3 linked regions of the Caenorhabditis elegans genome follow. The protein of the gene in region 2 interacts with the protein of the main gene of each other region in a pairwise test. Each region holds a gene or a part of one and is shown on either strand. Other genes may lie near its edges.

Evidence for each region.
Region 1: the proteins of unc-64 (region 2) and unc-13 interact in a two-hybrid assay, tested with the Caenorhabditis elegans proteins (2 studies listed by BioGRID).
Region 3: the proteins of unc-64 (region 2) and unc-76 interact in a protein complementation assay, tested with the Caenorhabditis elegans proteins (one study listed by BioGRID).

What each region holds. Positions count from the first base shown.
Region 1 is NC_003279.8:7,418,289-7,427,630, reverse strand, and holds the start of unc-13 (Phorbol ester/diacylglycerol-binding protein unc-13), read right to left. Parts: upstream 4,847-9,342; coding exon 4,774-4,846; intron 4,674-4,773; coding exon 4,644-4,673; intron 2,698-4,643; coding exon 2,598-2,697; intron 2,303-2,597; coding exon 2,192-2,302; intron 1,959-2,191; coding exon 1,828-1,958; intron 1-1,827.
Region 2 is NC_003281.10:13,275,735-13,288,002, reverse strand, and holds unc-64 (Syntaxin-1A homolog), read right to left. Parts: upstream 10,745-12,268; 5' UTR 10,635-10,744; coding exon 10,621-10,634; intron 10,576-10,620; coding exon 10,476-10,575; intron 9,437-10,475; coding exon 9,337-9,436; intron 8,769-9,336; coding exon 8,514-8,768; intron 8,131-8,513; coding exon 8,036-8,130; intron 7,787-8,035; coding exon 7,670-7,786; intron 7,457-7,669; coding exon 7,346-7,456; intron 5,780-7,345; coding exon of another isoform or gene 5,696-5,779; exon of another isoform or gene 5,663-5,695; intron 4,217-5,662; coding exon 4,133-4,216; 3' UTR 4,116-4,132; downstream 1-4,115. Other genes in the region: F56A8.8 (NR LBD domain-containing protein), read right to left, coding at 1,427-1,525, 1,581-2,186; Histone-lysine N-methyltransferase set-25, read left to right, coding at 848-1,045, 3,495-3,537. UniProt on the Caenorhabditis elegans protein: Plays a critical role in several secretory processes, including cuticle secretion and neurotransmitter release, and probably assists in neuronal membrane maturation or the final stages of neuronal differentiation.
Region 3 is NC_003283.11:15,067,893-15,077,425, reverse strand, and holds the start of unc-76 (UNC-76), read right to left. Parts: upstream 5,667-9,533; 5' UTR 5,543-5,666; coding exon 5,457-5,542; intron 3,855-5,456; coding exon 3,773-3,854; intron 3,723-3,772; coding exon 3,604-3,722; intron 2,646-3,603; coding exon 2,540-2,645; intron 1,286-2,539; coding exon 1,109-1,285; intron 491-1,108; coding exon 334-490; intron 1-333. Other genes in the region: dnj-3 (J domain-containing protein), read right to left, coding at 7,958-7,994, 8,050-8,154, 8,209-8,330, 8,381-8,560, 8,605-8,736; C25D7.10 (TPT domain-containing protein), read right to left, coding at 8,952-9,484.

The sequences.
Region 1 (9,342 bases), on a different chromosome or scaffold from region 2:
GTTTTACGGAGTTTTTGGTATTATCGTATTTTTACTAAATTGAGCTGCATCACCAAAACTCGAAAAAAAAACAATTGAAGCTCGGGAAATTTCAAAATGTAGACATCTTCTGAGTAGAAGTTCTTTGAAGTTAAAAGTTTTAAAAATTGAAAATTATCTGAATCTGAGTGGGATTTAGAGACAAGTGGCTGCTTGTGTGATCTGCATTTTCTTCCTCTTCTTCTTTGTCATCGGAGCTCTTGAGCGGCGAATTTGTGCAAAGTATCAAGAGTATTCCCTCATGGGAAGCGTTGTCAGATACTCTCTCACATTTCTTTTCGAGAAATGAAGACTAAAACGGCTATTCCAAATTTTCAGAAATTTTGATTTTTTTGTTCAGATTTCTTTCGGTAACTGACTGGAAACGACTGAACTATTTTTGAACAAATGAATGGAGATTTCAACAAAACAAAACAAAACTTTGAGACATGGATATCGTTTAGAGTAAAAAATAACAAATATTAGTATGTAAACTGAAACAGTGATTTGCAAAAAAAAAATTAGAAAATGCAAAGAATAATCAAGGTTACACTGGGAACTTGGTTCCGAGCTGCTTCAGAAGTTTTAGAGTCATCCTCATAAAATTTTGGCTGCAAAACATGTCTAGTACTAAACCACCTGACATATCTAAAAAATTCCAGTCAAAAAATCAAATTGTTAGAATAAATGCAAAAAATAATTTTGTCAGTTATCATGCTGTAATGAAATTTCAATGTCACACTTGACTAATGAAGAGTCATAAGGGAAGAAAAGGAAAAAAAGATACCATTATAATTTTTTGATAATTTGCTTCTCTATTTTATTTCAAATTTTGTTCGCAAAATGGTTCAAAAAATGTATAGGAAACACGGAGCTTCGAAAAGAGAACTAGAAAGGCTCAGGTGAATCATGGAGACGAAGAAGCCTAAAGTGCTCGACGTTTTTGATGTATGAGGTACACTTGGAATTGTTCAGAGGAGAAACAACGGATGGAACGTGGAATATAAAGAGAGAAGAAGACGTGTCAAGAAACCGATACGATGTGAATGGAAAAATAGAAGGAAACAGTTTTTGAAAGAAAGAAGAAAAGAGAAAAAATTGTAAGCGTTTTAGAAAAAGATATTCCAAAAATTTTATGGGAAAGAACGTTTTGGAATTTGACAGTAACATTTTTAGGTTAAAAATGCATGTCAGAAATCTTATGGTAACAATTAGGTTTCACTAGAATATTGGAAAATGTTCATAAAATTCTAAAAAACTGTAACAGATTGTGTGTCTATCGTGTTGCATGATCAATAACAACGGATCAATCTGATGGAATCTCGTATTTTAGTCTTGCATCCATTTGCTTTACATTGACAACTCTTATCTTAATTGTCGTTGGTTTTTCCAAAACTTTTTCAACAGTAAAATATTATCTAATATTTTTCAGCGTTAAAGATAAGGATTACTTCAACTGTGAATTTATCAGCAAATACAGGAGAATCTGATAATTTTTATTTTGAGCTTGTTACCGCTAACTTCTGAATAGTTTGTTCAGTTTTGAACAATATCAAGATAATTTTGAATTGGTTTAGATTAGGTGTTTCTGAATGCAATTAATTAAGTTAAATTGTAAATTGATTATGAACAGCAATTAGCTCAATGTGCTTCAGCAAGTAGCATGATCAGGCTTTTAGAATATATATATTTAGAAATATATAAGAATATATAATAGCATAAAATAATTAAGATTTAATCACAGAGGAGGGGAATATCAACAAAAATCCATACTATAAGAAATTATAATTCTGAATAACAACCACTCACCAAAAGGAAGCTCAAATCGAACATCAGTCAACAAGTTATGACCTGTTGGACCACGTGTTCCTACAGTTTGACCATTTCTTGTTTCAAGTTCATGATCCATTTGAAGCCATTGACCCGAACCTGCTGCATTGCTGAAAATCAATGGGGTATTTTTAGAAAACTGATACATTAATTTTAAAAGTTAGAAACCACTTCCGCTCAATTACGACAATTATAGGTGGCGAAAACTGAATAATTGCACTTTTCCATTGTAAATAAGAAACGTTCATATTTTTTCGTAAAATTGTATTAAAGTATGTTGCCATTTTAGTATTGGTTTTAGAGTGATTTTAACTGACGACTGGAAATTAAAAAAAAATTTTACCTGTATCTAATCTCCGAAAGTGGCATATAATGAACACCTATTAATTTGTCCCATAAAACGCCTTTGGCCCATAATTCGAGTACCATTCCGTCGTCAGGTCGATTTGTTTCACTGAAATAATTAATTAAATATGAGGTGATGTGGTTTAGCTGAAACCTTAATGTTTGATTAATTGGTTTTCAAATATAATTGTTGTTATTTTAATAAAATAATTGTAAGTGTAATGAAAAAAAAACAAGTAAAACGTTCCAAAACTAAAAAAAGGAGGCAAAATAACACCAATTTACGCATAATGGTATTTTTCCTTCCATAATATCAAATATTACTATTTTCAGCTGTTCTTTTTTTATAACATTTACAAAAATCGGTCTCCTTTACCGTATTTCACCTGTCAATGACAACTTACAAAATGAATTCCTGCTCCCAGCATGGTAAGTTGCCACGCACAGCCACAGTTGTTGATTTTACAGTCTGCAGCTTCACCGTCACGTACGAGTTGAATTCATCTGAGATCAGGCATTTAAATTGTTTTTCAAAAATTTAAAAACTGAAAAAAAACATGCTCTAATGATAGGGAGGGCGCGAAACGTTAATGCTTGTACAAAACCTCTTTAAAATTTATAGAAAATTTCAACTCAATCCAAGTTTTGATAATCAAAATTTTAAAAATCAAAACTTGATAAGACTTTGGTAAAACGAAGGTGAAAAGTTGTTGAGATTTCATTTCCAAAAAGAAATTTGAAAAAATCTAGAGAAGATTATAAATCTGCAAAATCTCTCCAATCCTAAATAAAATCGCAACTTCAAAATTTTTTTACTGCTGGACAACTTATTGGCTAATCCTAAAAATGGGACAGTTGAAAACAATTGGGTCCTAAAACAAGAGTTAGAATGTAACACGTTAACTATAAATATGCTCTCATGAAAATTACTGGGACGCTCAGTTAAACTTTTGTACCCAGGGGAACAATAAAAAAAGAAGCTATATTTTTTTTAGTTGAAAAGAAAAAAAAAAAGAGAACAACGTGAATTATAACTCAATTTCTGGCTCAAACTTGAGTGAAAGATCAAGAATCTTTAAAGTTCTTTCTCATGAGATTTATAGTAAATGTAAAAAGCTACTAAACATTGAACGATTTGTTAAATTTTTTGAACAAGCTGGTTGTATTCTTACTATTACTATATGCTCTTACTATATGCTTTAAAGATGGGGTACTTTTAGCGGGATTTTGTCAACTTACGTTTAGAATGTGGGGTTTTTCGAACTATATGTGTAACTTCAGACACATTCTTTACTACTAATACTTAAAAAAACGAAAACATTTGTTCTATATTCTCAAAATTAAATGAAATATCAAAAATTATTTCAAAAGCATTGGAAATATATGTTTCGCTTAATTTTTAATAATTTTTTAAAATTTTAATTCCATAATTTTTTCTTGAGCTTAACGTACATGATAAATAACAAAGTTTAAGTTTCATTTCATTTTTCTTGGTCTTTAAGCTTCCAGTCCACCGTATCTTGTTTCGTCTCCGGTGCCCTCATTCATTCGTCATTCCATTTCAAACGTTTTCCCCAGTGACTTACTCTCTTGTTTAGAGGTGCCCCCGGTGCTTCTATGTTTAATTTCCTGGCAACTTTTTTCCGGTTTCTTACTTTTTACTTACTCACTTGCTCACGAATGTAGTTAAACTTTTCCTGCCTCTTCAACGACTCTTTTCTCTTATCTTACTCTAAAAAGGTCCCAAAATTTGATTAAAATTTGCCAAAAAAAAGGGATGGGAAAATAGAAGAGGCGGGTGCATACACATACATTCAGAATACTAAGCACATCTTGTACGTGATGTTGAGGTATAAGTTGTGCATTATTTCGTGTGTCATCGAAGCATGAAAACGCGCGTTTCACGATGAGATTTATTATTCGGGAGGTCGCCCCGTGAAACTGGAATGACAGGTGTCACGAATGATGAATTTCTCAGGCGACAACTACAAATCGGAGCAACGCCACGCATGATCGTTTCTCGATTTGCAGAAAGGGATTTATTCAGATTTTTTAGTCTTTCACCCAAAGGAGGTGGACATTTCATTTAAAAAAAGTCAGATCCACATTTCAGACATCTGGCAAGTTAATAGTTTTTTGTTGAGATAAAGTGATGATTCATAAAGTGGAAGAGCCACTTGATTTTCAGTTAGCTCTGACTATGATTTTTTAAAAGTATTTGGAGCAGGAGCATCTTTTGGTTCTATGGTCATCGAGACTAATTGTAACAGTACTGGCACACTGTTACATTTTCAGATTTTTTTCAAAAAATTGGCAGAACTCTCAGAATATTTGTTACATTATCTACTTCAAGTTTCAGGGAATTTCCAGTATTTTTCAAACGAAATAAATTATTTTAAATGAAAACTGAACTATATATTTTAAGTTATAAAATCAATAGAAATACTCACCGACAGCTCCTTGAAGTCGTGCTTTTTTAACTGAAACAATCAATGTTAACATCTCGTCCATAACTGAGTGTCGATGGTCTCGTATATATGTATTCTCGAGACGGCAAGAAGAACACAAATAACAACTCACTGGTAATGCAGAGCAACCTCATGCTCATGCCATCTGAAAGTTGATCATCATTGTAATCTCCAACGTCATCCATCCCTTCTGATTGTTGAAACGTGGCATATTCTTGGGCGATGGTTGAAGAGGAAGCGGCCTCCCCAGATGGGTACGCGCCGCCGACCAGTTGTTCCAATGCCGAGAACAACTTGGTCTCCTGGAGAGTTTTTGGATCAGGATTTTCAGAATTTTAAGGTTTTAGCGAATCAATTAGAGATCAGGTTTAGGTTCAAGTTCCTGGTGCAGAGTTAAAGCTTGAGATCAAGTTTAACCTATAGACAAAAGTTAAACTGAAGGTCAGTGATGAGTGGTACAAATAATTGGATTAAGCAGAAGTAAGTAAGTTCAAAAGAACTAACAGCCTAATCAGACAGATCCAGAGATCTTTGAAATTTGTGTTTTGTAGTTTTTGTTCAAAGAAAGTTATAGATAGAACGTGTTCAAAGCCCCTTAATTTTATATAAAAATTAAATTAAAAACAAAACTCTCAATTCCTACATAACAATGAATAAAAAATTATATGCATGACATGATGAAAAGTCATAAAATACAGAAAAAATGAGCTCCTTTTTTTGCTAAGAAAATGCGTATAGCCTCGAGGTGCCTTCTGCATTATAATGAAAAATGCATCACTTTTTTCTATACTTTTTTTACTATGAAATACGAAAAACTGGGTTAAAAAGTAAATACAAGTTTAGAAAAACTATATTGTTTTACTTCTTTCTCTTGTCAAAGTTGTTTTTATTCTTTAAATGAGAAAATTTCAAGAATGTGTTAGTAACTCAGTGATTTTAACATTCAAAAGTGGAACATAGTGAAAATTTTTTCAAAAAAAAAAAAAAAAAAACGAAATTAAAAAAACGAAATTTTTGTTACCAGTCAAAAAAATTAAAGAGTTTGCAAAATTAAATTTTGGCAGTATAACATCATTTTGACTGAACATTTGAAAAATCTGAAACAATTTTTTAGGGTCTCATTTAAGCACTTTTATTTTTGATTTTGACAAAATCCTGACTGGTGCTACATTATTTTTACAATAAAAAAACAAAACTTCAACATGAACTTCTTATGGACAAAAAAGCTGTAAACTCTTTAATATAATTTTTGTCTAAAATTCCAAACCTAAACGAAAAAATCTTGATCAAACCACAAAAAAAGTTGATTAAGAAAGTCCAAAAAAAGAAACGAACGCAAAATGCGCGAAAAAGTAGCATTTTTTGGAGTATATACTAAAGAAACCAGTGAGATAGTGATTCAAACTAATAGACGCAGAGAACCGGAATAAGTATAACGGAGAGTGTGGAGACGGCGACTGGATGAGCTTGTGCTTTCTTCTTCTTCTGCTCCCGCTCTCTACCCCCTATTCGCCACTCCCCCCTTCGCAAAAATTGAGGACGGAGTAGCAGAAGACGTCGCGGAGCCAAGCTAGAGGAGCACGGAGCACTGAATTCTCGGAGAACCCAGAGATAGTTGCACCCACTACCACCACTCTTCCCTTCACCACAATTTCTCTTTTGGTGTCCCTCTCTCTCTCTTACTTTTTCACCAATTGGGTTTCAGAAATGGACAATAGGAGGACGTTTATATGTGTTTGTGTATGTGGACGGTTCTCACGCTCTAGTGCTCTCCATTCCAATTTCTAGACCTAGATGCCACTCAATGCTTCAAAACAGACTTGCTATGGGAATTCATATCAAATTCTGTGTTCCGATGAGGTTTTAAAATCATACGAAGAACCCATTTTCAAGGGTTGTGTTCCAGAAAAAGATATTTTTAATTATCAAGATGTTTTCTAGGAAATTAGATAGTTTCCAGCATGTTTTAAATATCGAAAATTAGTTCTGAAATTTTTATATTTGAAGAAGAAAATCTGTAAAAGGATCAGTCACAAAAATTATCAAAAAGTTTTTAAATGGATGGTCGTAATGCATCAAACGGTTAAGATGAAGATTCTCTCAGAAATTTTGTGTCTGAATATTTCATATTCTAAATTCTAAAAAAACCCAGCACACTTATCGACATTTTCGAGCATTTTGCATCGAATTTTCTCAAACTGAAACAATTTTCTCGTATTTCTCGAAAGTTACAATAACGCTTTGACATGTTGACGTAAATGTTTACATATTAACAAATATCAAATTGTACCATTTCTCTAACTAAAAAACAAATCATTATAACATAGCAGATGAGAAGGGTTTGATATTTTGAAAGGAAATTTGAAGCCATAATGAAATCAAAATTTCAAAACGGGAGTTTAAAATTTCTAATCACTTGATGAAAACTTACAATCTGAAATCATTTGCATCTCAGAAACCTTTTGAAAATGCGATTTAATTTTTCAAAAAATATTTTGAATAACTTTGGACGGACAATGATGATCGATAAAATGCGACTGCACATAAAATACACAAATCAAACAGCTGAAAAATAATTGAAAATTGTTTTTCACTTGTTCACTATTTATGGATAAATTTTTTGATCGGAAAATTGAAAATAAAAGTTTTGTACAACAAAATTGTTTTATGAGTTGGATATAGCTATAATATATCTTTAATATAATCTTTTAAAAGGAAAAAAGAGAACCAAAAAGAAAAACGTTTTGTTTCATCTCACCATCTCATCATCGTCATTTTTTGTTAGATTTATTCGAGCGGAAAAAACATTTGAGCATTGATAAAAAGCTTTAAATGAAATATTCATCAATTCTGGTGGATTTGAACTTTTCCAATTTGCTCATGTCGAGAAAGCCACAGTGTGTTAGCTTGTAATAACTTAGAATTTGAAATAGCCCAGGTGTGAAAAATTCCATAACAACGATTGATTTCAATTTAAAAATCAATAAATCAATAATTTTTAATTTTTATTACTGATTTGTTAGTGAAAAGTATACATACATAAACTTGATAGAGTAAAAGCGTTCGTTCTTCCGTACAAATTTTGGAACATTTGAAGAAAGGTGTTCTAAATCTCAAAATGGTTTCCTTGCAAAACTTTTCTTTAAAAATGTTTAACACACTGGAACATCTTAGAAAAATAAATCTAGGAATAAAAATTAGCATAGCGTCATTTTTTTTAAAAATTCAATCGCCAAAAGAGATTGTTTTTGCAGAATGAAAAATTGTTTTCTCACTTTGAAGATACGAAGGGATAGAAGATGAAGCAGTCATCATCATTTCCCCAAGTGTCATCTGAATCTCTAATCGTCTTCCGTTCAAGATTAACTTTTAATATCTGCGTGGTAGGCCTAGCTCAATCGTCTTTAATGGAAAGTTGAATATATGGAAAAATATAGAGAAGTTCTTGAAAAAAAACCATTTGAAATTTAAAATAATCTGGTGTTTCATTCTTTTTTTCGAGTTTTAAAGTTTTCCGAGAGAGGAAAAAAACTAACTCATCAAAAATTCATTCAGAAATACGACCCTTTTTCCCAATCTCCAAAACGAAAAAAGCCATCAAACACCACTTTTCACGCTGATCCAATTGATTCTTACCTTTTCTGAAACCTGATCCTAGACTTCCTTTTTTATTTTAAGGGATAGACATGTGAAAATGTTATTCTTGGATTAGGTATGGCCTAATCCTAGCTTTAAACATTAAACCCACATTGTCTATTCCATTACCATCACCCTTACCTGACATGCCACGTGCCATCAATATTCAGAAAAAATAGACGGATAATACGGAACAAAAACGAGAAATTGTCCAACGCGGAACGAACGGGGCAAAATTCAAAAAAAATCAAGAAACAAGATAACAAGAAAAATAGAAAAAAACGAGAGGGGGTCAGAAGGAGTAGAGTAAAAACGGAAAAAAGCAAAAGCAGGAGATGGCGGGGATTTGATTATTTGGCTATAGAGAGCCCACGGAGCTGCTGATGTTCAATTTTCAGATACACCAGGGAGTGATGGTAGCTTGAAAGAACACTTGGTATATAGTGAGAAAAGCTGAATTTTCGCCAAGATTTTATCTTAAAACGGTGGTTGATTGTAAAACTATACAATATATAGGAAAAAGTATGCAATTTTCCACTTTTGGAGAAAATTTACGAGGCTTGAACTTAATTCAAAAACTCAGATTCAATTTTTGTTCCATTTCAAAGGTACAGTTTATTTACGACTTGTTCATCAGTGAGCTCTTCTCATTATTCAAAATGTGGGCGTAACGAATTTGGCACAATGTGCATACCGCGACTCGCGAACTACCAAAACTTGCGCGTCGTTTTCGTGATGCGCACATTGCCCGTTCCTTGATTCTGATGCTTCCATTGAGCTCATGGATATGACAACTTATTTGTGAGACTCCTCTGCAGCTAATTTTCTTGTAGGGTTCAATTTAAAATTTTACCTTTTTTGCCTGAATTCATTGAATATAATGTAACTCTTATGCCCAATTCTACCATTTCTAGGCAGAAGGAACTACCGACAGATAAACAGGCATTTGTCTTTCTTCTGAATAGAACTTGTGTGTTTTCAGGTTTGGCGGTTTATTTCTTCAACAGATCCCGCATAAGATCGTGATTTTTGATTACCGTGGAAA
Region 2 (12,268 bases):
ATGAAAAATCATGTTTTATGGTTGATTTTTGGAACATTTTTTAGATTTTTCGATTTTCATCGAAAAAATCGAAAAATGTGTGCCGGACGCTGAAAATTCAATTTTCGCTTTTACCGAAAAACGAAAATTGTTTTGATTTTGGACCAAAAAACGAAAAAAAAATCGTATTTTTGCTTCGTTTTCCCGATATTTCCATTTAAAAAAAATTGATTTTTCTTAAAGTTTTGGCCAATTTTCTTCTTTTGTAGAAGAAGTTTCTATTATTTCCATCACATTAAACAAAATTTGACTTTAAATTTACAAAATGACGGGGTTCTGGCTTTCCTCATTGAATTTTCGCGCTCCATTTACCATCGCCAGGCCGGACAACGCGTGGAAAAGTTTCGTGTACTCCACACGGACAAATAAATCAGTTTTACAACTAAAAACGAGCCGCGACACACAACGCGCCGTAAATCTACACAAAATCTCTCCGACCCAAAATGGCTAGTTCGGCAAACTCTGCCATTTCGATTTATGAGGGAAGCCAGAATTCCGTGCAAAATTTTATGGTAATTATTTTCGAAATATTGGAAAACGAAAAAATAAGTTATTTTAAATAACATTTTTGATATTTAGATTTATAAAAAATCGAAAAACCGATACCACAAATAATTTAATTTCTTCAAAAACCAAAAAAAAAAGTTTTTTGGTTTTTGTCCGAAAAACCAACGAAAAATCCAAAAATAAATGGGGAATACTCTCGAATGACAATTTCTCGTTTTGAAGTCTGATGGAAAAATGGAAGTCTTCCCCCTCTAGAGTAAACCAAAATCACGTTTTTTTTTGCAATAAAAAATTATTTCAGGAATATCTCCCGATTCATCAATCACAGCTGTGACCCCAGCTCGGTGTTCGTCGAAGTCTACAGTCGACGATTCGAAGAAGATCCACTGATTCCACGTGTTGCAGTATATGCCATCAAGGACATCGCTCTAGGAGAAGAGATAACGATTGCATACTACGAGCCCGGTATCGAGTGGAAACGGTCGAGTGTCAAATGCCGGTGAGCCTTCTATTGCTCAAAATATACTCAATATGATGAAAATTCTCAAAAATGTTCCAAAAAAAAAATTATGACGGTTCAATTTCTCTGAAAAACGGCTAATTTTAGCTAAAATCTCCAATTTCTTTCGTTTCGCAGTGACATGAAATTAACAAACATTCGAATCATAGTAAATCTATTAAATTAAGCAAGCTGTGATTAAAAACTGAATTCCCGCGTCAGTGTTGACAGATTTTCTGTAGAAATCGTATTTTATATTTTTTGATTCAAAAATTCTCAAGAAAAACACCAAAAACACTAAAGTGAAAGCAAAACTTTATTATCGAAATTTAAAATTAAGGTCTCATAGTGACAATCGTTTTGTTATTATCAACAAAATGATTACTCAAGCAAATACTTGTAGTGTTCTCTGGTGCAGTCTGTAACATAGTCTATTCCAATATTTTGGTTGCCGAATGTTCCGACATTGAGCATTGATTGCTGGAAAATTTTTCATGAATTAGATCATTAGGTAATATATTCAATAGAGACTTACCAAGACTTCTGGAATCATCCTCACTAGACTTTTGTTGAACAGTGTGCTTTCCTCGACACGCTTCTGATAAACGAAGAGAGTCAGGTAGTACGAGTGTGGAAGGATCGGAATCTTTCCAGTACAGACAAACGTAAACCGAACGTACTCGATGACGTCAACGTAGAACTGAACGAGTTCGTCCGCCAAACGTTTCGGCTCATCTTTGAGATATCCATTCTCGTCGGCTTCGGGGAAACAGTTTGGGGGTCCGTATTGCTCGGTGGTCACCTTCATTCGAATACATTGTGGGATGAAGTCGAGAAAGCGATCCTCGTAGCTCACAGATTCTGCTTCTTTTTTCAAAAAGTTGTAGCTCTTGATGAAGAAGGTCGGAATTCTCTGGTTAACGGCGTCCTCCTCCCCGTTAACCTCTATATGATTATCGATGAAGCGCTCGCATTCTTCATTAATTTTTCTCGCAAAGACGTGAATGTCCTTCTTCAGTTTGGCAATTTCTCGATCAGATTTCACCTTTGGCTTGGAAGGACTCGACATGGGAGTCGAGTCGGGTGAAGAGCATGGGGAGGTGGTGGAGTCAGTGTTGCACACAGATGACGAGGTTGACATGATGAAGAAAAAAGAAAATGAATGAATGAATATCATGTAGACATAGGCTCACGATTGTCTGAACGCGCCGTTTTTCCGATCGATTTCAGTGGAAACGCGGATATGTAGAGCTAGGCGTATGTGAACTTGGAACGCTGGGAAAATAGGTGACCCTATGCGATGAGAATGGGGTTTGGCTGGTGTTGTGGATAGCATTTAGCAATTTTTTTTTTGAAGACCGGGAAATTCCTATTGCTAAAAAATCTCAAAACCGGCAATTGCCGATATTTCCAATTGCCAGAAATTTTGAAAACCGGAAATTTCAATTCCGGCAATTTGCCGATTTGCCGGAAGTTTTCAACTCCACAATTTGCCGGAAATTTCAATCCCGGTAATTGGCCGATTTGCCGGAAGTTTTCAACTCCGGCAATTTTCCGGTAATTTCAATTCCAGCAGTTTGCCGGAAGTTTTCAATTCCGGCGATTTCGCCGATTTGCCAGAAATTTCAATCCCGGCAATTTGCCGATTTACCGGAAGTTTTCAACTCCGGCAATTTCGCCGATTTATCAGAAATTTCAATCCCGGCAATTTTCCGATATGCCGGAAGTTTTCAACTCCGGCAATTTCGCCGATTTGCCAGAAATTTCAATTCCGGCAATTTGCCAGAAATTTCAATTTCGGCAATTTGCCGATTTACCGGAAGTTTTCAACTCCACAATTTGCCGGTAATTTCAATTCCAGCAGTTTGCCGGAAGTTTTCGATTCCGGCAATTTCGCTGATTTGCCAGAAATTTCAATTCCGGCAATTTGCCAGAAATTTCAATTTCGGCAATTTGCCGATTTACCGGGAATTTCAATTCGATTTACCGGGAATTTCAATTCGAAAGTTTCCAACTCCGGCAATGTTCCGGTAATTTCAATTCCAGCAATTAACCCAAAATTTCAATCCCGGCAATTTTCCAGAAGTTTTCAATTCCGACAATTTCGTCGATTTGCCAGAAATTTCAATTCCGGCAATTTGCCGATTTGCCGAAAAAAATCGTTTGCCGCCCACTCCTGGAGTGAACTGGGATTTTCCTACAAAATATTTTCAAATTATTCTGAAATTCAGAAATATCAACAAACAAAAGAACTACGAAAAAATTTGACGAAGAATTGAAAAAAAAAGTCCAACTTTTTTTTGAAAATAATTTTTCAATTTTGAAATAATGGAATATTTTTTTCGCTATTTCCAGAGAAAATCAGAAAAAAATTGTACGAAAAAATATCTGAATTTGAAAAAAAAATTCTGGAAAGCTGAAAAATAATTTAAAAATTGTAAATTTTCAGGTGCAAATCGACCAAGTGCATGGGAACCCTTCCTGCATTCTGAAAGTTTCTCCCCTATACATCTTCATTCTTAATTCACTGTATGACAATTAACTTTTTAATCTTTTTTTCTGCTTTTTTCCCTGAAGATCTCCCCTTTTCTTCCGACTTTATTCATGTTTCCTCAATTGCACTCATTTCATTAATTTTTTTCATTTTTTTTTCCGCTCGAGTTTGTTATTTTTGCCCATTTTCTCTTTTTTGTAAAGTTTTTCATTTTTCTTTTTGAGATTTGAAAAGAAAATTGAATTTCCTGAAAATATCACTTTTCCCCCCAAACACACTCATTTCATTAACTTTTTTTTCCTTTTTTTTTCTTTTTTACAATTTTTCTGTTCTAAAAAATCATTTTTTGCTCATTTTTGTAAAGTTTCTATCCCCCTCAAACACACTCATTTCATTAACTTTTTTCTTTTTTACAATTTTTCCGTTCTAAACAATCATTTTTCCGCCCGAGTTATTTCAGGAATTTTCGTCCACTACATTTCATTAATTTTCCCTCAAGTCTTTCATTAACTTTTTTTCCCAATTTTCTTGTATTTTTTGCTCAATTTTTTCATTTTGGTTAAGTTTTTCTTTTCGTCGAGATTTGAAAAAATTTATAATACTTTCGCATAAAACAAAATAAAAATAATTAGGCCAGTGATGAGTATGACGCCGGTGACAAGGATGCAAATCTTCTTCTGAAATTTAGCTTTAGTAAGAAAATTGCACAAAAAAAATATCTCAAAGCGATTCAGAAATTCATTATTGTTATTATTATTGATTGATTAATTAATTTTTTGGTTGGTTGGTGGTGAGTGAACAGAAAACACATGAAATGGGTGGCAAAAAAAATTGAAAAAAAAATTAAAATTTCTTACAGTAAGAAATTGGAAGGATCCTAAAGTTTTGAAAATTTGTAGAAAAAACAATTTTTAATAAATATTTAAGCTTCCATTTTGAGATCGATATTATTCTAATTTTAAAAAATAATGAAATAATTTGTAATTTAAATTTAATTTTTATATTAAAAAGAACTATTGCTTGGTCGAAGAGAACGGGGGTGAGATTTACGTGTGAAAAGCGCGCGAAAAGTGGGTCAAAAGGCAGTGGAGATACAAAAACAGGATGTATTGCGAAATAATTAGGCTTTTTTTAAAAGAAAAATAATATTAATTTGTTCGGGAATTCGGGTACTTTTATGATAATAAATCAACAGTGATTTTTGCCCGGTCTCGACACGATAAGTGTTTTTGTTAAACGCGAAAAAGTATGCGCCTTTAAGATTACTGTATTACGGGAACAGAAATTTCTGAGAATGCGTATTCCGCAAAATATTTGACGCGCAAAATATCTCGTAGCGAAAACTACAGTAATCCTTTAAATGACTGTAGTTTGCGCTACGAGATATTTTGCGCGTCAAATATGATGCGCAATACGCATTCTCAGAATTTTGTGTTCCCGTAATAAGTTAAAAATTTTTTTCCTCGAAAAAACAAGTTTTAAACTACAGTAATCTTTAAAGGCGCAGCACATTTCTGTATGGCACGCAACTTTGTCGTGTTGGGACCCGGTACTGTATTTGACTTGCTTCGGCGCAAAAATCCAAGATTCGGTAATATAACCTTGACGCAAGCGCACTCCACGGCTAATTGAGAACGCTCCGCCCTGAAACCATGGGTCTCGTGAGGAAGTTGGCGCGGCAAATTCGAAAATTCAAACATTTTCAATTACTTTCTATTGCTTTTATTGATTTTTAAAAAAATTATTTTGACAGCAAAAATATTTAAAACAACGAAAAACTGGGTGAAAACGTTTGAATTTCCTGATGTTGCCGCGCTAAATACCTAACGAGACCCAATTTATAAAGGCGGGACGTTTGGCCGTGGAGCGGGTTTGCACTTTGATTTTTCAAATAGTATTTTCTCCAAAATAAGTTGATTAATTATGAAAAAAGTACCTGATTGAAAGAAACTAAATAATAAATAAATTAAATATTTTTGATAATAAAAGTTTGCTCTATTTAATCTAATGCTCTAATTACAAAGATATATTTAGCCCTTATTTTCAGAGAAAACAAGCGAATTTGGTTCATTATTGGAGCCGTTTTTGTTGTCATATAGAATTTGAAATTTTGAAATTTTTTTAGCGTGGGCGTTTAGACGGGGAAACAAATGGGCTTAAATGCCAGGAATATACTGAATGAGCCACAGAGAAACGAAGCCGATTAGGATGGTGACGACGATCAAAATGATGATCTTCTTCTGAAAATAATGGACAAATAGGTTAGAGAGAAACATTTATGGTTTACGACAAAAAATACGACGAAAAAAAAAACACATCACAGGACAATATATGACAATCACAATAAAAAATACAATCACAGGAGGTCCACGGTCTGCAAACACGCTCTGCTGAGAACTAACAACAAACTTTCCAAAAAATGCAAGAACACAAAATTCTGAGAATGCGTATTGCACAACATATTTGACGCGCAAAATATAACTACATCTCGTAGCGAAAACTTCTGACTACTGTGGTGTCGATTTACGAGCTCGATTTTAAACTGAAGAGATTTATCGATAGAATACTAATATTAAGCAAAAAAAAGACAGTAGTCATTTAGAGAATTACTGTAGTTTTCACTACGAGATATAGTTATATTTTGCGCGTCAAATATGTTGTGCAATACGCATTCTCAGAATTTTATGCTCCCGTAATACAAAGACTTGAGTGAGAGAGTGAGACAACACAAAGTAAGTTAAAACATAATAAATTAAAGCCCCCATATGAGAAATTGATTTGAAAAATTGAACTCAATTCCCGTCACCAATATTAATATTTTCCCCGAATTTTGAAAGCAAGAGGGTTTAAGAAAAAAAAAATCAATGACAATTTTTCAGCGAACACGAAAACGTTGAGAAGACGTGTTCGATGTGGAGGAGCTTGAGGTTTTTGAGGGTAACACAACAGAAGTTGAAGCATTCGCAACAATAACCCAAATGACGACAGCAATGACGATGACGAGAATAATGACAACAATTAACACAAATATATAGCATTTCATCTGGAACATTACAGATGTACACCACGAATCACTAATACAGTACAATAATCAATTTTTGAATCGATATTTTTTTGAAAAAAAAATGCGGCGGCAACTTGAAAAATGGTAGATCATATCATTATACTTTCTAATATTTCATAAACTTTCAAATTCATAAAAAAATGTTGCGCGTGAGGTATGATGTTTGAATCATTTCCTGCCCGACTTTTGTGCCAAAAATACGGTTCCTACTCACGGCCCGGCAAACTGTATGAGTACGCAATTTGTCTACCGTATACCTGGACGTTTGGGCGCATCTATCTCAAAAACGGGTGGTCCAATATTTTTGTGATGCATAAAAATGTCCGAAAATAGATTCGAATTTTTTTTTGGACCAAAAGCTTTTTTCGTTATCACGCGCCCAAACCTGGCTACACTCAAATTATCAGTAGAGCGCATTTGCATGGATGTACCACTTGCTTACCGGGCCGTGTTGGTCTTGACACGACAATTTTTTGTTGAATGCAAAACTGTTGTGCGAAAATAAAAAGTTTCCGAAAAACTATGAAAAGTCGATGAAAATAAAAATACTCTTTAAAGGCACACACCCGTTTGTATTAATAAATTTATAAAAATTCTCGTGTCTGGGAATTTTAGAACCCACATTTTCCCAGCTGCCAGACACATTTTCTATCAATTTTGATGAATAAAAAACTCAATATAGGTATATCCATGCAAAATAGAGTTACAATATTAAATTTTTCCAAAAACGTAAAAAACGAACCCTTCGCGCCTTCGACTGATATTGAACGGCTTTCTTCGTATCAGCTACTGCTCGATCAACAAATTCTTTCGCGTGCTCCACATTGTACTCAATTCGATCAACCATCTCTCCCTGGAAAAGCTCAGGATTTTTCTTTAATTATTTGAATTTCCTCCAAGCTGAGAATTACACGACCAATCAGGCGGGGTGGGCGGACTCGAAGACGCTGATTGGTTGGAAAGTACCTCTTCTATTTTACCTTAGACTAGACATTAAGAAATTTGTTAGAAAAAACCTATATTTTTTTTTGAAAATTCAACTTGTAATATCAAAAATTCCACAAACCTGAGATTCGACAAGCATAGCCATATCCATGAACATGTCGTGAAGCTCTCGAATTGAACTTTCCAATTTCATGATATCATTGTGACGAGCTTCAATATCGGCTAGCGTTTGTTTTGCCTAAAAAAATTATTTAACATTTTTTGGGTTTTTTTCCAGAATTTTTCTTGGAGAATTGGAAGGACGCCTCCCCGCGCTCAAGGTTAAGCGTAAGCGTAAGCTTACGCTTAAGTCTAAGCTTAAGCCTCAGACTAAGCCTAAGCCTAAGCCTGAGCCTAAGCTTAAGCCAAAAAAAAAAACGAATTTGGAATAACTTTTGTTAATATTTTCAATTTTTTGTTTCAAATTTTAAATTAGAAAAAAACAAACCTGTTGGGTATCTGTGATGATTCCTTGTGTAAATACTCCCGGATTTCCGCTCTCAATCATTTCCTCCAAATCCTCATCTCCGACTTGTTTTCCAGCTGAAAAAATATGTAATGGATTATTAGAATTTTGTGTGAATTTTTTTAAAAACTGATCCAAAATTTAGTGGCACAGAATGTCAGGAAAAATTTTGTCCTGCCCCAGTTAGGCCTACACGTCTGCCTGCCTACCTGCCTACGATACTTATAATTCGACTAGTCGGTGTGCCTGACAAAAATTTTTTTGAAGCGTCCGATGTTCTCTGGGTTCGTCTTGCGCTATGACAGGTATACATATATGTCGTAGGCGTAAGCCGCCTTGTAGGCAGGTAGCAGACATTGGGAGCACCATGATTCAGGTGTGCTCCAAAATTCTAGATTTTTTTACTTTAACAACTTTTGCTTCGCAAAATTTCCATAAAAATGTTTTAAAAAAAGCTCACCAATATCGAGTTGTCTCTGAATTCGTCCCTTACACCTCTCTCGATAATCAGTCTGTGTCTTATTATAATCAGTCATCACTTCGACGAATCGTCTCGATAATGTGCTGTGTTGAGTTTTTCGAATTCGAAGATCCGCATTTCCGGCTCCTTGCTCGTCGTGATCAATGGCATTTTCGATCAATTTCAGTTTGCCGCGCACTTTATTCGCAGCTCTTTTGATAACTGCCATCAACTCGTCGAGTTCTTCTTTGGTTTCTGAAATTGTGGCATATTTTTGGGGGTCTCAAAAAGTACAATATTTTGAACCTTGTTTTATCCATTCAACAATTTTTTAAAAAATTTATTTTCGAAATTTTTTTAACGAAACTGTTTTAAAAAAATTCAATCTAACTTTGTTTATTTTACTGAGAAAACACGCACAAAATTTTTCCTGAAAGAAAAAAAAGAGTCACAATTCAAAGCTAGTTTCCGAAAAAATCGAAACAATGAAAATTTTCTTTTTTTTAACTTTTTAAAATTGTTTTCCAGATCTTTTCTTGGAGAATTTAAAACGAAGCCTCGCCGAGCCTAAGCCTAAGCCTAACTCTAAAAGCCTAAGCCTTGGCCTGAGCCTAAGCCTAGTCCTAAACCTGAGCCTAAGCGTAAGCCTAACCTTGAGCCTAAGCCTAAGCCTAAGGCCAAGCCTAAAAAAATAATTTTTTAAAGAAAAAAAAAAGCCAACATTTACAGGTATTTTTTCGAAAGATCTGGAAAACGAAAATTTTCGATATTTTTATTTTTCTGAAAAATCAATTTTCTAAAAGTTCAGTTTTTTAAAACATACTCTGATCGTTAACTGGATTTGATAAAATTGCCGAATGCTTCTTCTTGACCTCTTCAACATTATTCGCAATAATATCCACACTTCCACGAATCTCTTCAACCTGCAAAAAAAATTCAACTAAAGTGTTTCCATTTTCATCAACCCCAAACATTTTTATTTCCACAGAGAGCTCCTAGAACAAAATTCCATAGAATCTATATATCTCTATGAATTGAAAAAAAGGTCGCCGTCGGTTGCGCAAAAACTATGAATATTCAATCGCCCCCTCATGGGAAACAGAGACACCCGAAATGACACATATATAAAAATCGAGGCAAATTGACAAAAGAGAGCAACAAAAAAAAAGATTGCGAAATATGGGGGGGACGTCACTGAAATACATCACAAAATTGAGTTTCATTTTTTCTTGTTTCTCAACTATTTGAACAGCTTGTGTGATTGGTCATAGAATTTGCGAACATTTTGGAATTTGTTTTGTTTTTCAAACTAGTAGAATTTTTTGAAAATTTGAGAAGTTCAAAATCCATTTCTAAAATATTTACAGTTTGGAAATCGCTTTGAGAATGCGTATTGCACAACATATCACGCATATATGACGCAACATATGACGCGCAAAATATCTCGTAACGAAAACTACAGTAATTCTTTAAATGATTACTGTAGCGCTGGTGTCGATTTACGTGCGCTATTTTCTTTAGTTTCACAAGTAAAAATTTTTTTAATGTTTCATCGATAAATTTCGAAACCGAGCCCGTAAATCTACACCAGTGCTACAGTAGTCTTTTAAAGACTTACTGTAGCCTTCGCTACGAGATATTTTGAGCGTCAAATATGTTGCTCAATACGCATTCTCAGAATGTTGTGTTCTCGTTATATAATAGTTCAAAATTATCAACTATTTTTAAAAATTTTCAGATATTGTGGAATTCAAAAAAAAACATTTCGAGAATTTCTTAACAAAATTCCAATCCAATTAATTGAAATAAAGTTGAAGTTTAAAAAAATCTGAGTTTAAAACATTTTTTTGGCCGACTTCAAATTATTAAAGTGGACTTGAATGAAAAAATTTACATGTATTTTTTCAAAAAGTTGAACCATAATTTTTGTTTATTTCGACACCAATTTTTCCACTACAGTACCTGCTCAAAAAACTCCTCCATATATTGTGCATTCCCGGTGTCCATGTGCATATCATCGTCCTGCTCATCCTCGGACTGCGCCGCTTTTAAAGCGGACAATCTAAAATTTGTGCATCATTATCTTGATTCAAGAATATTGACTCACCTGTCCTTAGTCATGTTGTTGTTCCTGTTGACAGGTCTCGACACGAAAAGTGGTTCCTATTGTTGGACTGTCAAAAAGTCATGTGAATGGAAAGAGACAAGAAAGAGATTTTGATGGAAAGTCTGGAAAAGGAAAAATGAGAATTTAAAAATCGAATTAAAAGTTTAAAAAGGAGAAATGGGAAAAATATACTTTAAATAGAAATTATCAGATTATTAAAACTTAAAAAAAATTATATAGAATGAAGATTGTTAAAAATTGCACAAAAAGTTCATACTAACAATTTTCAAAAAAAGGGGAATTTTTTTCGAGTGGTCAAAACCTGGTGTTAAAAATTTTGGAAGTCGACCAAAATTAATGTTTTTCTATTATTTTCGTACTTTAGTGTACGTTTTAATTCGGCAATTTACCAAAACTTTGACTGAAATTTTTTTTGAACAAACTAAAATATAGACTAGACTAGGCCTTTTTTGACGATACTACAACTTTAAACAAAAAACATTTATATTCGAAAAATGTACATTTGATGACCAAATTTCATATTATAGTAAAAAATTCGAAAAATTATAGTAAAAAATTCGAAAAAAATCTAAATTTTTTGATTTATTGGGAATTTGAAGATTACCAGTTTTTGCCACTTATCTGGAAGTTGTCGATATAAAAAGTGTTCCTTCGAATTTTATGATTTACTTATGTTTCAAATATAAATGGTCGGCAGTGCTATTTTCTAAAATAAAAGTGGCAAAAAGTCAGTAATTGCCACTTTTTGGCTGACAATAAAAATGCTCAAAATTTTTTTGAAAAGTTTAACTATGGCATTTGAACATGACAGTGTTGTAGTTTTTTTCAAAAAGTGGAAAAAAGTTTTGAAAAGTCAAAAAAAAAAATTAATTAGATTACCCGTATTTCCTTTTGCACTTTACGTTAAAATTTTATATTTTTGGTTACATATTTCAAATATATCAATTAATGTATAACAACAAAACAATAGAGAAAGAGATGACAAATATTTTCTCAGTTGACAATTTTTTGTACAGGACAGAGGGTAACTGAAGTAAGTTTCAAGTCTAAAAAAAGAAATAAAAACGTGGTTACTTGTATATAAACTGAAAAGATAATAGGGCAGAATAGAGAATTCAAAGAAAAAAAAAGGAAAAGAGCAAAAAATAAGTGAGGCGGAGGGGAGTGGACGCGGGGGGAGCAGCACCGAATAGAAGGCGTTGTGTGTCTCGGGGAGCCGTTTTAGGAGCAAACTGAGTGACGAGAGAGAGAGAGAGAGAGAGTAGAAGAGATGAGGGGGAAAAGCTCGTCTTCTTCCCGGTGAAAGAGAGAGAGAGAGAGAGAGAGAGACCACATCTGTTCGATATATATGGGAAAAGCACGAGAGAGAGAAAAGGAAGAGCCAAAACGATGAAAGGAGAGGCGACGAGACAGTTAGACGTCTCACACACACACACACTCTCTCTCCATTTTCATGCTTTTGCGTGTCAAGGGGCGGGACTCTTTACCCCTATTTTTTTTCGCGGGTTTTCTCTGCGACTCTTTTTTTTATCCCACCATTTTTTAAGGAGTGAGACGGAGCAGAGAGGTGAATGATTTGGTGGGATTAGGGATCTGATCAGGGCAGTGGGGGAAGTTGTTAAAAACG
Region 3 (9,533 bases), on a different chromosome or scaffold from region 2:
GAACGGCAAGAACAGAGAATTCATTGTTTCAAAAATTTGAAATTTTCGCTTTATTACAAAAGTTGAAAAAATTTCATTTTCGATTTTACTTAGAAAAATTAACTTTTTTCAAAAATGCACTTCGATTTCAAAAGGTGGATTTTTTTAAGTGTCCGTAATATTTAAATCAAGAAAAAATTTATAACTTTTTTCTCTAAAAGATTTGAAAAAAAAACGAATTTTTTTTCTCACAAAAAAACACGGAAATTCGAATTTTCAAAAACGATTGAAACAAGAATGTGAGATAAAAATTTTTTTAAGTTAATTTGAATTTAAATTTTTTAAAAAACGTACTATCCGGATTGCTGACAAGGGCCTGTGCACTTCGAAGTTTAATATCAGCATCTGATGATTGAATTGATGATGGAAATGGTGAACGCATTGAAGAATACATTGAATCAACTGATTCCATCGTTCGATCCGTCATCATTGAGCCAGTGAAATCGCATGACTAAAAACGAGAAATAATACATGTAATCGCTTGTGGTGTTAAGGGCTTAACAAGGGGGTATTTGTTTTTGTGTTTTTTCTGCTTCTCGTTTCAAATAAATGAATAGATTTTCGAAATTTGACAGAAAGTAAAACACTTTTAGACATTTAAATGAAACTTATCTTATTCAAAATAGGAGACTACAAAAAAATTTGCGGCAGAGGAGCACCTTTAACTAGAAAAATAATGATCTGAAATTACTTTCAGTGCATTTTTTCACTAGTGGCCCGTGAAATTGCTCCAAATATAGATTAGTGCAAACTTTGATGAGTTTAGGGTGATTAGAAGTAGACAAACAATTTGGAAGCTTTTTAAAGGAAACGATTTTTGAAAAAAAAAATCCAAAAAGATTTCAAAATGTTTGTCTACCTCCAATCACCCTAAAAATCATTAAAAGTTTGCAAAAATCAATTTTTGAAGCAATTTCACGGGCCGCTAGTGCAAAAATTGCACTGAAAGTAATTTCAGATTGACTATTTTTTTAGTTCAAAGTTCTCCCTTTTCTGCTAAAGTCACCTATTTCCAAAGTCTTTTTTTAAAACATTTTTTCTAAAAGTGAGACTTTAAAAATATAATGACCTGTAACATTTCATCAATTTCTTCGATAACTTGATCAGCAGTCTGTGGAGGTGTTTCACCACCAGTATCCGTAGATCCATGATGATGTCCAATCATTTGATGAACATCCATTTGTTGTCGTAAAAGATCCTCATCATCGGAATTTGTCATACTTCGGCGTGTAGATGCGTCGTCTTTCTGGAAAAAAGTACAAACGAGAATTTATTTGCAAATGGGAAAATTTAGGGAAAGAGCAGGGAATCCAGTGAAATCAGTGAACCGGAAGACAAACAAAGGTCAACTAGAGGAATGTCTAGGTTTTGACTTTTTTCAGATTTTCAAAAAAAAAAACAGGGCTAGAAAGTAAACTTGTTTTTTTTTATAATTTGTAAGAGTTAAGAGAAAAATGATTTCATAAAAAAATTAGTGTATTCCGCGAGGAGAAGGCTTTTCAAGTTTTTGACTTAAAAATGGCATTCTGAAGCATTTCCGTTGTTCAACCTGCCAATCTATTTTATAAAAACAGTTTTCAGATAAAAAATCTGAAAAAATGCATTCACCATTGAAAAGTAACAAAATCTCGTTTTAACTAGTTTTCAGCGGTAAGTTCCTGAATTTTCAGTGGAAAAATTATAAATAAAAGATAAATTGGTGATTTAATTGCCAAATACAAAAATAAATAGCGAAAAAATGTTCAAACCCCAGAATACTATCCAAGATTATAACAGCTTTCCTCGGGGAGTACACTTGGGTTTTTTGATAATTCGAAAAAAAAGTAGGATTTTCGGAGAATAGCTTAAAATTTTTCCCATTTTTAATAGTAAATTTTTTTAAAGTTTATTCTCGTCAGCCACATTGAAACTGTTTCGATGACGCTTTTGCTTCTGAAGAAAACAACAAACATTTTCTTTAAACAAATTGGTTTGTTAATTTTTTTCCCCAAAATATGAATGTAAAAAATTAAAATTTTTTAATTTAAAACTTAAAAACTCTGAAATAAGTCAATTCCGCATTCCAAACATGATGGAAATTGGAATCCCGTGATCTTTCAGAAAATGATTACGGTAGTCGCATATTTCAAATAATGACAACCGGGAAATTGAAAACTGCCCAAAAAAAAAGAAGAAGGGGTGGTATTTAATGGACACCGCTCTCCACATAGTAAGAGTTTTCTGAGCATCGGCTCTCGACGCCTTCTTCTTATTCTCTCTGTCTCTCTGACTCCTCCGGTGAGTGCTATAAATCGATTGTAGAGAACAGAGAGAAAGAAGAAGAAGAAGAAGTGTTGATGCTCAAGTGGAAGGAGCTGGAGACGATGAGCGTGAGAGATGAGCATAGTGGAAAAGATAGATGGAAAAACAAGAAGAACGTTGATGGTGGAAGAAGGCAATAGTAAAAACAGAAAAGGAAGACAAAGTGAATAACAAAAAGATCCGGGGACCCTCTGCTCACCAATGAATCACTGTCCAGAGCTGCGGCCATCTTTTTACATATCGAAGAGGTTCCAAAGTCGAGAGGTTGAATGTTTCCAAAGTTTCCGGTTAATGTCCACCATGTTCTGCAATTTTAGAAATTTCTTAATTTTTGGAAAAACTCAAAAACAAATTTTTTATGTTTTACTACTAATTTTTAAAAAAAAATCCAAAATGCTCGTTTTCACTATATTTCGAATTTTTTTGAATTCTTAAAAAAATAGTTGAGAGTTTTGGCCATTTTTCTTATTTTTAGAAGAAAATAATATGTTTTCTGTGTTTATAGGCACTCTATGTAATAATGACTATAACTTTATGTGTCGATTTACGCAGCTCGTGAAGTCCACGACGAGGAGGGTTTTACTGCTGTTTCGAAAAAACTTTTGAATTCAAATTTTCGAGCCGTTTCTGATTTATAGCGTTTTCGGGAAAAGGATCTAAATTTACTTCAACTATGGAGATTTTTTGTTATACCTCACTCGCCACGCGGATAACGAATTACTGTAGCTTGAGTTGAAAAAAAGTGAATTTTAATCTAAATAAGAATTTTAAAAAAACCTGACGATTGACAGAAGTGACAGTAATTACTTATCCGCGGGGCGAGACCTTTGCTACGAAAATTGTCATTTGAAGTTGGAAAGCGAGAAAATTAACAATTTGAATGATAAATACAAAAAGAACTTGCGAAAATAGTCAAAAACTAAGAATATTATCCAAAAACTGTAAAATTGTCCTAGTTGCGGATTACACGAACTGCGTAAATCGACACATGGCTTTTTTTCGGGCTAGTTTTTTTTAATTCGTTCCAAAGTAGAAATTATTTCAAAATTGCTCCATTTTTCACTAATTTTTATGAAAAAAGGCTATAAATTAGTTTACTTTTTAATTTAAAAAATTGGATTTAACTACAATTTTTTGGTGCTATTCTGAACAGAATTATGAATTTTTACGATTTATGGAACTTTAACAAAATAATTTTAGATCCCAAATTTTAATTTTTCAACCAATTTTTTTAAATCCACAAATAAAATCCAAAAAACTCACTGGCTTTCATTCATAACTTCCTCTTGAGTACGTATCTGCACAGGTGCAATATCCGCTGTCGTCACCTCGTGGTCCTTCAGGCATGCCGCAATTTTTTCGTCAAAGTTGCCGACAAGGTCCTGAAAATAAAAGAATGTTGAAAAGAGTGTGACAATGCAAGAAGTCCAACCTCAAGGGATCCAGAGAACTCGTCATGAAGACGTTCCTCGTCGCTGTTGCTGTTGCAGTGATGTTTCTCGTCTGATGAATGGCTGAAAGTTACAAGTTTTTTTAATTTTTATCCTTTCATCTATTCATATTATGGATACGCAGAATAGAAAACAATTTTTGAAAGTGAAGTGCAAGCGCGCTCCACCGACAAATCAATATGTCCCGCCCCAAAACGTCGGGTCTCGTTAGGAAATTCAAACGTTTTAAATTATTTTTTAACCGATTTCATCCGTATTCAATGAATTTTTCGACATTGTGTTGCGTTTTTGATTGTTTTTCATGATTCTTATGTCAAAATGATATTTATTAATTCATATGAAGTTGAGAAGTGATAACATATTTTCTATTAAGTGTGAATTATAATTCCATCAATTTCGATATAAAAATATCCTAAACAAGAACATAAAACATAACAAAAAGTCGAAAAATCTAGTTTTACCACTAAATACCTAACGAGACCCAAAGTTTAGAGGCGGGGCACTTAGAGACTTGGCAGCGGAGCGCGCTTACATCTCGATTTCAAAAAGCGTATTTTTCTATATTTTTTCTGCGTCCCCATAATATGTATTTCTTCAGCTTCACCCCATCCTCTTTAGGACCCCCAAATAGTATGAAGATCCGATAATTAGATAATGTGTATCTTTTGGATGTGTATTGGGGTATGTGTGTGTGTGTGTGTGTGTGTGTGGATGGCCGTGAGGGGGTGAGAAGATGAGCTTTTAAGTACCCTCTCCTCTGCTGCTGCTGCTCTACAACACTTGGCTCGTTCAATTGGATTGGGGCCCAGTTTTATTGGCATGTTCGAAATAGAAAAAAGATATAACGAGGCCATCGAACGTATGTCAGAAACACTTAGGGAAGCACTAAAAGAAAATTTCTGCGAATTTTTCTTGTTCTCTAGGAATTCGAAGGACCATAAAGAAGTGCACTGATGTTCTTTCTAGGAATTTACAAAAAAATCTAGTGGGAAGTTATAGTTTTGCGATTTTTTTTTCAATAAATGCCCTCTTAATTTGAATTTTTCAGCTCGATAATAAGCTTTTTTTTCAAAAAAAACCTCTACAACCTATTTATAAATAAGGTGGTTTCCAAATATATATTAAAAAAGTGAATTTAAAATTTTTTAATAGGGATATTCATATTGATACAACATTACAGTATTTCTTAAAGGCCCAGAGCTTAAAAAATTGCTACAGTAACCTAAATATCTGATGAAAAATACTGTGAACCTCTAAAACGGCCATGAGTCGATTTACGCAGCTCGTGTACTCCACGAGGAGAAGTGTGCAATTATATTTTTGACTAAAAATCTGGAATTGAAACTATTTTTTTTAGTTTTCTATATTTTTATCACGTAATTTTTTTTCACCTAAAAACACTGTTTTAAACTTCGGATTTAAAAAAATTAATTGGTATGGTCCGAAATCCTGCTTTCTTGCTAAAAACTGTTAAATCCTTTGCAAAAAAATGTACGCTTTTCCTCGCGGAGTACACGAACTGCGTAAATCTACACATGACCGGAGGATCACAAGCCTTCACGATCATAATTCCAACTTGTGAGGGAGTTTGGAATCTCTAGTATCCAGCAAAATTCAAGATTTTTTTTGCACTCTCCCACCAACAGCTTCAAAAAAAAAACTCACTTGCTCAAATTCTTATTACTATCGATATCATCATCATCACACGAGGCGAGCGGAATGTCCGGTACTCGCAGATCTGCAGCCTCCATTGCCACCTCTCCAAAACGCATCGGTACTTTTAAAGGTTTTGGTGAAGGAAAAACGGATGACACACAAAAGTGTGGAAGAGAAAAGAAGAATGGAAACGACGACGACTTTTTGGGATTGAAATTGGGAGAAAGAAGGAGGAAAAAGGCAAACTGACGACGTTGGAGAGATGCAGAGACAAAGAGAGAGAGATGCTAGAGGGCTCCAGCCGCCAAACTAAATGAATGCTCTATGCCTTTGCTCCAAATGTCGTCGTTGTTTGGGAGAAGAAGAAGTAGAAACAGAGCTGCTGCTGCTCTCTTCTGCAGTAGTCACTATGCGCGCAAAGGCAACTAAAGACGAAAAAGAGACGGATAGAGACGCAGAGACATCAACGGAAAACCGCATATGTATTGGATCCCTCCGGTTGTCTTTCTCTGACCGACTCTCTCAATGAGAGTGAATGAGAGAGAGAGAGAATTAGAGAAAGAGATACAACAAAATGAGTGTACATTTCTTTTGCGGGGCGGGGAGTTTTGGTGGGGTGGAATATAGAGAAAAAGAAAAAAGACCCAACACAGAAATACGAAACCCCTTCTCTCAGCAGCGGCGCCATTCTTTTCAGGACTAAGAAGACTAAGAGAGAGAGAGAGAATGTGAAACAAGTATCCAATTTTTTTCGCCTCACACACACCCACAGATGAGCCGAGAATCGGAGTGATTGATGTGCAAGAATGAAGGAAAAGTGCGGTGACATATTATTGTGTCCACTCCTCTCCGATCTAATCGGTTCGCCGCAAAAATAGATGAATTATTTGTTACGAAATCATTTTTCGTCTAGTTAATATAGGAATGGGGGATCGAAGTGAGATTGAGTTTTGGGTCCAACTTCAGAAGACGTTTCCAATGATTTATATCAGGGTTGGGCGGCAAACGATTTTTTTCAGCCAAATCGGCAAATGTCGAATTTGCCGGAAAAACGGCAACTGCCAAAAATGTTCGGCAAATTGTAGTTTTGCAAATTTTTTCTGAAACTTCAGAATTTCAATTTTAATCCGCAAATTTGTACGCATCCTATGAATGTTCCTAAATTTATTTTGAAAAGGGAGCAAATCCTATGAAAATATCTAGAAAAGACGGGAAAAAATTTCAAAAAGGCACAGTTTTAAGCGTTTCCGGCTTATAAAAAATCCCTATAAAAATTTCCGGCAAACCGGCTTTTCGCCGAATTTTTCGACAAAAAAAATTGCCGAACGGCAATTGTCGCTCTTGATTAATACAACTTTTAATTTAAACGAGGAAATTTTTTAAAAAAATTTTAAATAAAAAGCAGTTTCCAGAAGAGTAAGTGTAAAAGTGACAGAACTTTGGCTTACGCTTACATATTTTGGAAATGTGGAAACCCGAAACCTATTCGTGATACGTTCATTGACAATTAAATAGGTGTGGTTCATTAGAAAAGTAACATGATCAGAAAAAATACGATTATCTCTCCAAAGTCATTAAAAAACTGAGTTTTCGATGTCTAACAAGAAACATACAAATTTGAAGAAAAATGTTGCATCTGGGTCTAAAACTAATTTTATTAGCCCAATTATCTCAAGACATGCGCCCGAAAAAGTTTGACCCCTTGACAAAATTGAAAGTTTGTTTCAGTTTTATGATCGAAATAACTATAAGAAAATGATACGAGAACAGAAAACAGTTGAAAGCTTGCAAATTGCCGAAAAAATACGAGTTTTTTTCTCCAGAAGAATTTGGCCGAGAAAAAGAAGGCGAAACTTTTTTGTTTACGACATAACAATGAGTGATTTATGCCCTTTTTCTGGATGAAAGAAGTTGGTTGGACTATGCAGTCAACGATTATTAGACCTCAAAGGGCTCTTTTTTCTTTGGTTTTCGCACCTGCGAAGTGGTAGTGCTCAATTTTCGAGCAGGGAGAACTATAACAAACAATTTAGTGTATGTTGACTATACCGGCGACTCGACTGGTTAAACTCGTCAAAAGAACAAGGGAGAAATTTTTGGAAAAAAAAGGAAAAAAGAGAGAAATTTTGGCGAGTAACTAGTGCACTTTTCGAAGAGCCGGGCGGGAGAAGAGAGAAAAAGGAAACAAATTCAATTTTAGAGAAATTTGTAAATTTAGTATAAACACGAGTGGAATAGTAAGTAGTATTTACAAGAGGAAGCTAGAAAAAATCTTTAAAGCTTTAAAACAATTCTTTAAAAAAACAAATTTTTAGAGTACGCAAACACCGGCCGGCACGCAACAATGCAGACATTCGCTTACAGTACTCTTCTGGTTTTCCACTAAATTTTCAAGCTAATTTCAAGTATTTAATTGATTTTCAATGAAGTTTTACACAATTATTTTACAATTTTCGAATCAAAATATCATATCTAGGTAAAAATCTTTATTTTACAAAACAATGAAAATCCTAAACCGGCTTCGAAAGGCGATCCGCTTGTAGTTTCCTGGAAAAAAAACGTTTACAGATTAAGTTTAATGCTAAATAACCAGGATACGAACCTAATATAAACAATATTGGCCCCTATTAAAGCCATGACAGTTGCTGCTAAAACGACGAGCATTCGATTTTTCTGCTTTTCCCGGAGGTATTCATCTTCGGGATTTCTGAAAAATAAAGAATTTACTGAAAAATTGTTGCCAGCGAATTAGCTTTAATACCTAAAATGGGAATATACAACTTTTTTCGAATTCCTTTTTGCATCAGGTATCACATCAGCACTCCATTCAGCTCTTTGAATATTCCTCCTCTGAGTTGACATTTCTTGAGTTTTATGCGTCGCCTGGAAATTGGAAAAAATATATAATTCTCAAATCTTTTCTAATAAAATACCTCCATTAAAAAACCGCCTTCTCTACTAAACGCTAAATCGTATTCTTTTCGTTTTTCTTCATTTCTGAGAACATCATACGCCTCCTTCACAAGCATAAATTGTTCGGTTTCAGAAGAACCAGTAGCCCATCCAACTCGCGAATCACTTTTTGAAGATTTTCGAGACTGGTCTGGGTGAAGCTGGAAATGTTTTATTTTTTAAATTTAAATCAGCTTTCTGAAACCTGCTTGGTCTTTTTCAAAAATGCATCTCTAATTTCCTGTCTCGTGGCAGAAGCAGAAACTCCAATTATCTCGTAGTAGTTTTTTCTGATGATGTATGATGCGAATAATCGTTTTTGAATGAATTTTGCCATATACTATTAATGCTGAAATTACCAATGTTCAAAAATTTGTTCAAACCTGATCTGAAAAACGTATGCTGCGGTTTAGAACCATTTAGAATCTTCAAATAAGAATATAATTGTTTTTTTTTAATTCAGTTTTTATTGGATATTCTGTATTTTTAATACATTAAAGCATGCAATAAAAGGGAATCGAAAAAAACAAAAACACAAGAAGTTTTTAAAAATTACACAGGAACGCGACTAAAAATCCAAACCGTTGCCACTGGCCAGTCACAGGAGCTGAGATGGTTCATGAAAAAGGCATTGTTAAAATGAATGTAGAATGAAATAATTGTTGATAATGTTACAACTTCAAAGTAAGGGAAAACAAAGATTGAGAGAAGGATTTGAAGGAAAATTGAATTGAGCGAGGAGGTGGCTATCAGAAGAATTAACATTTTCAGTGGGGTTAAAACTAAATAATTCTGAAGTGTATAAAATACAAGTTGGCCAGTATTCATGAATATTATAAAACAACTGAAATAGACGAGTTCAGTGTCGAAAGTTAGAGATAAAGTGGTGGCAGAGAGGAAGATCGCAAGTAAATGTACTAGGAATACTGGAATTATGAGATGAAGCTTCGGTGGATGGGAAACACGTTCGACGCCAGAAATCAGGATTTTTGAAATTATAGGCAAAGGGACGCAGAGATAGAGGAAGATCTTGAATTGTTGGACAAACTCGCGAACTCCTGGTGTGATGAACAGCGTCATGTTTCCTGAAATAAAATTTTGAGTTTTGATAAATTTGAGCTGAAATTAAATTCA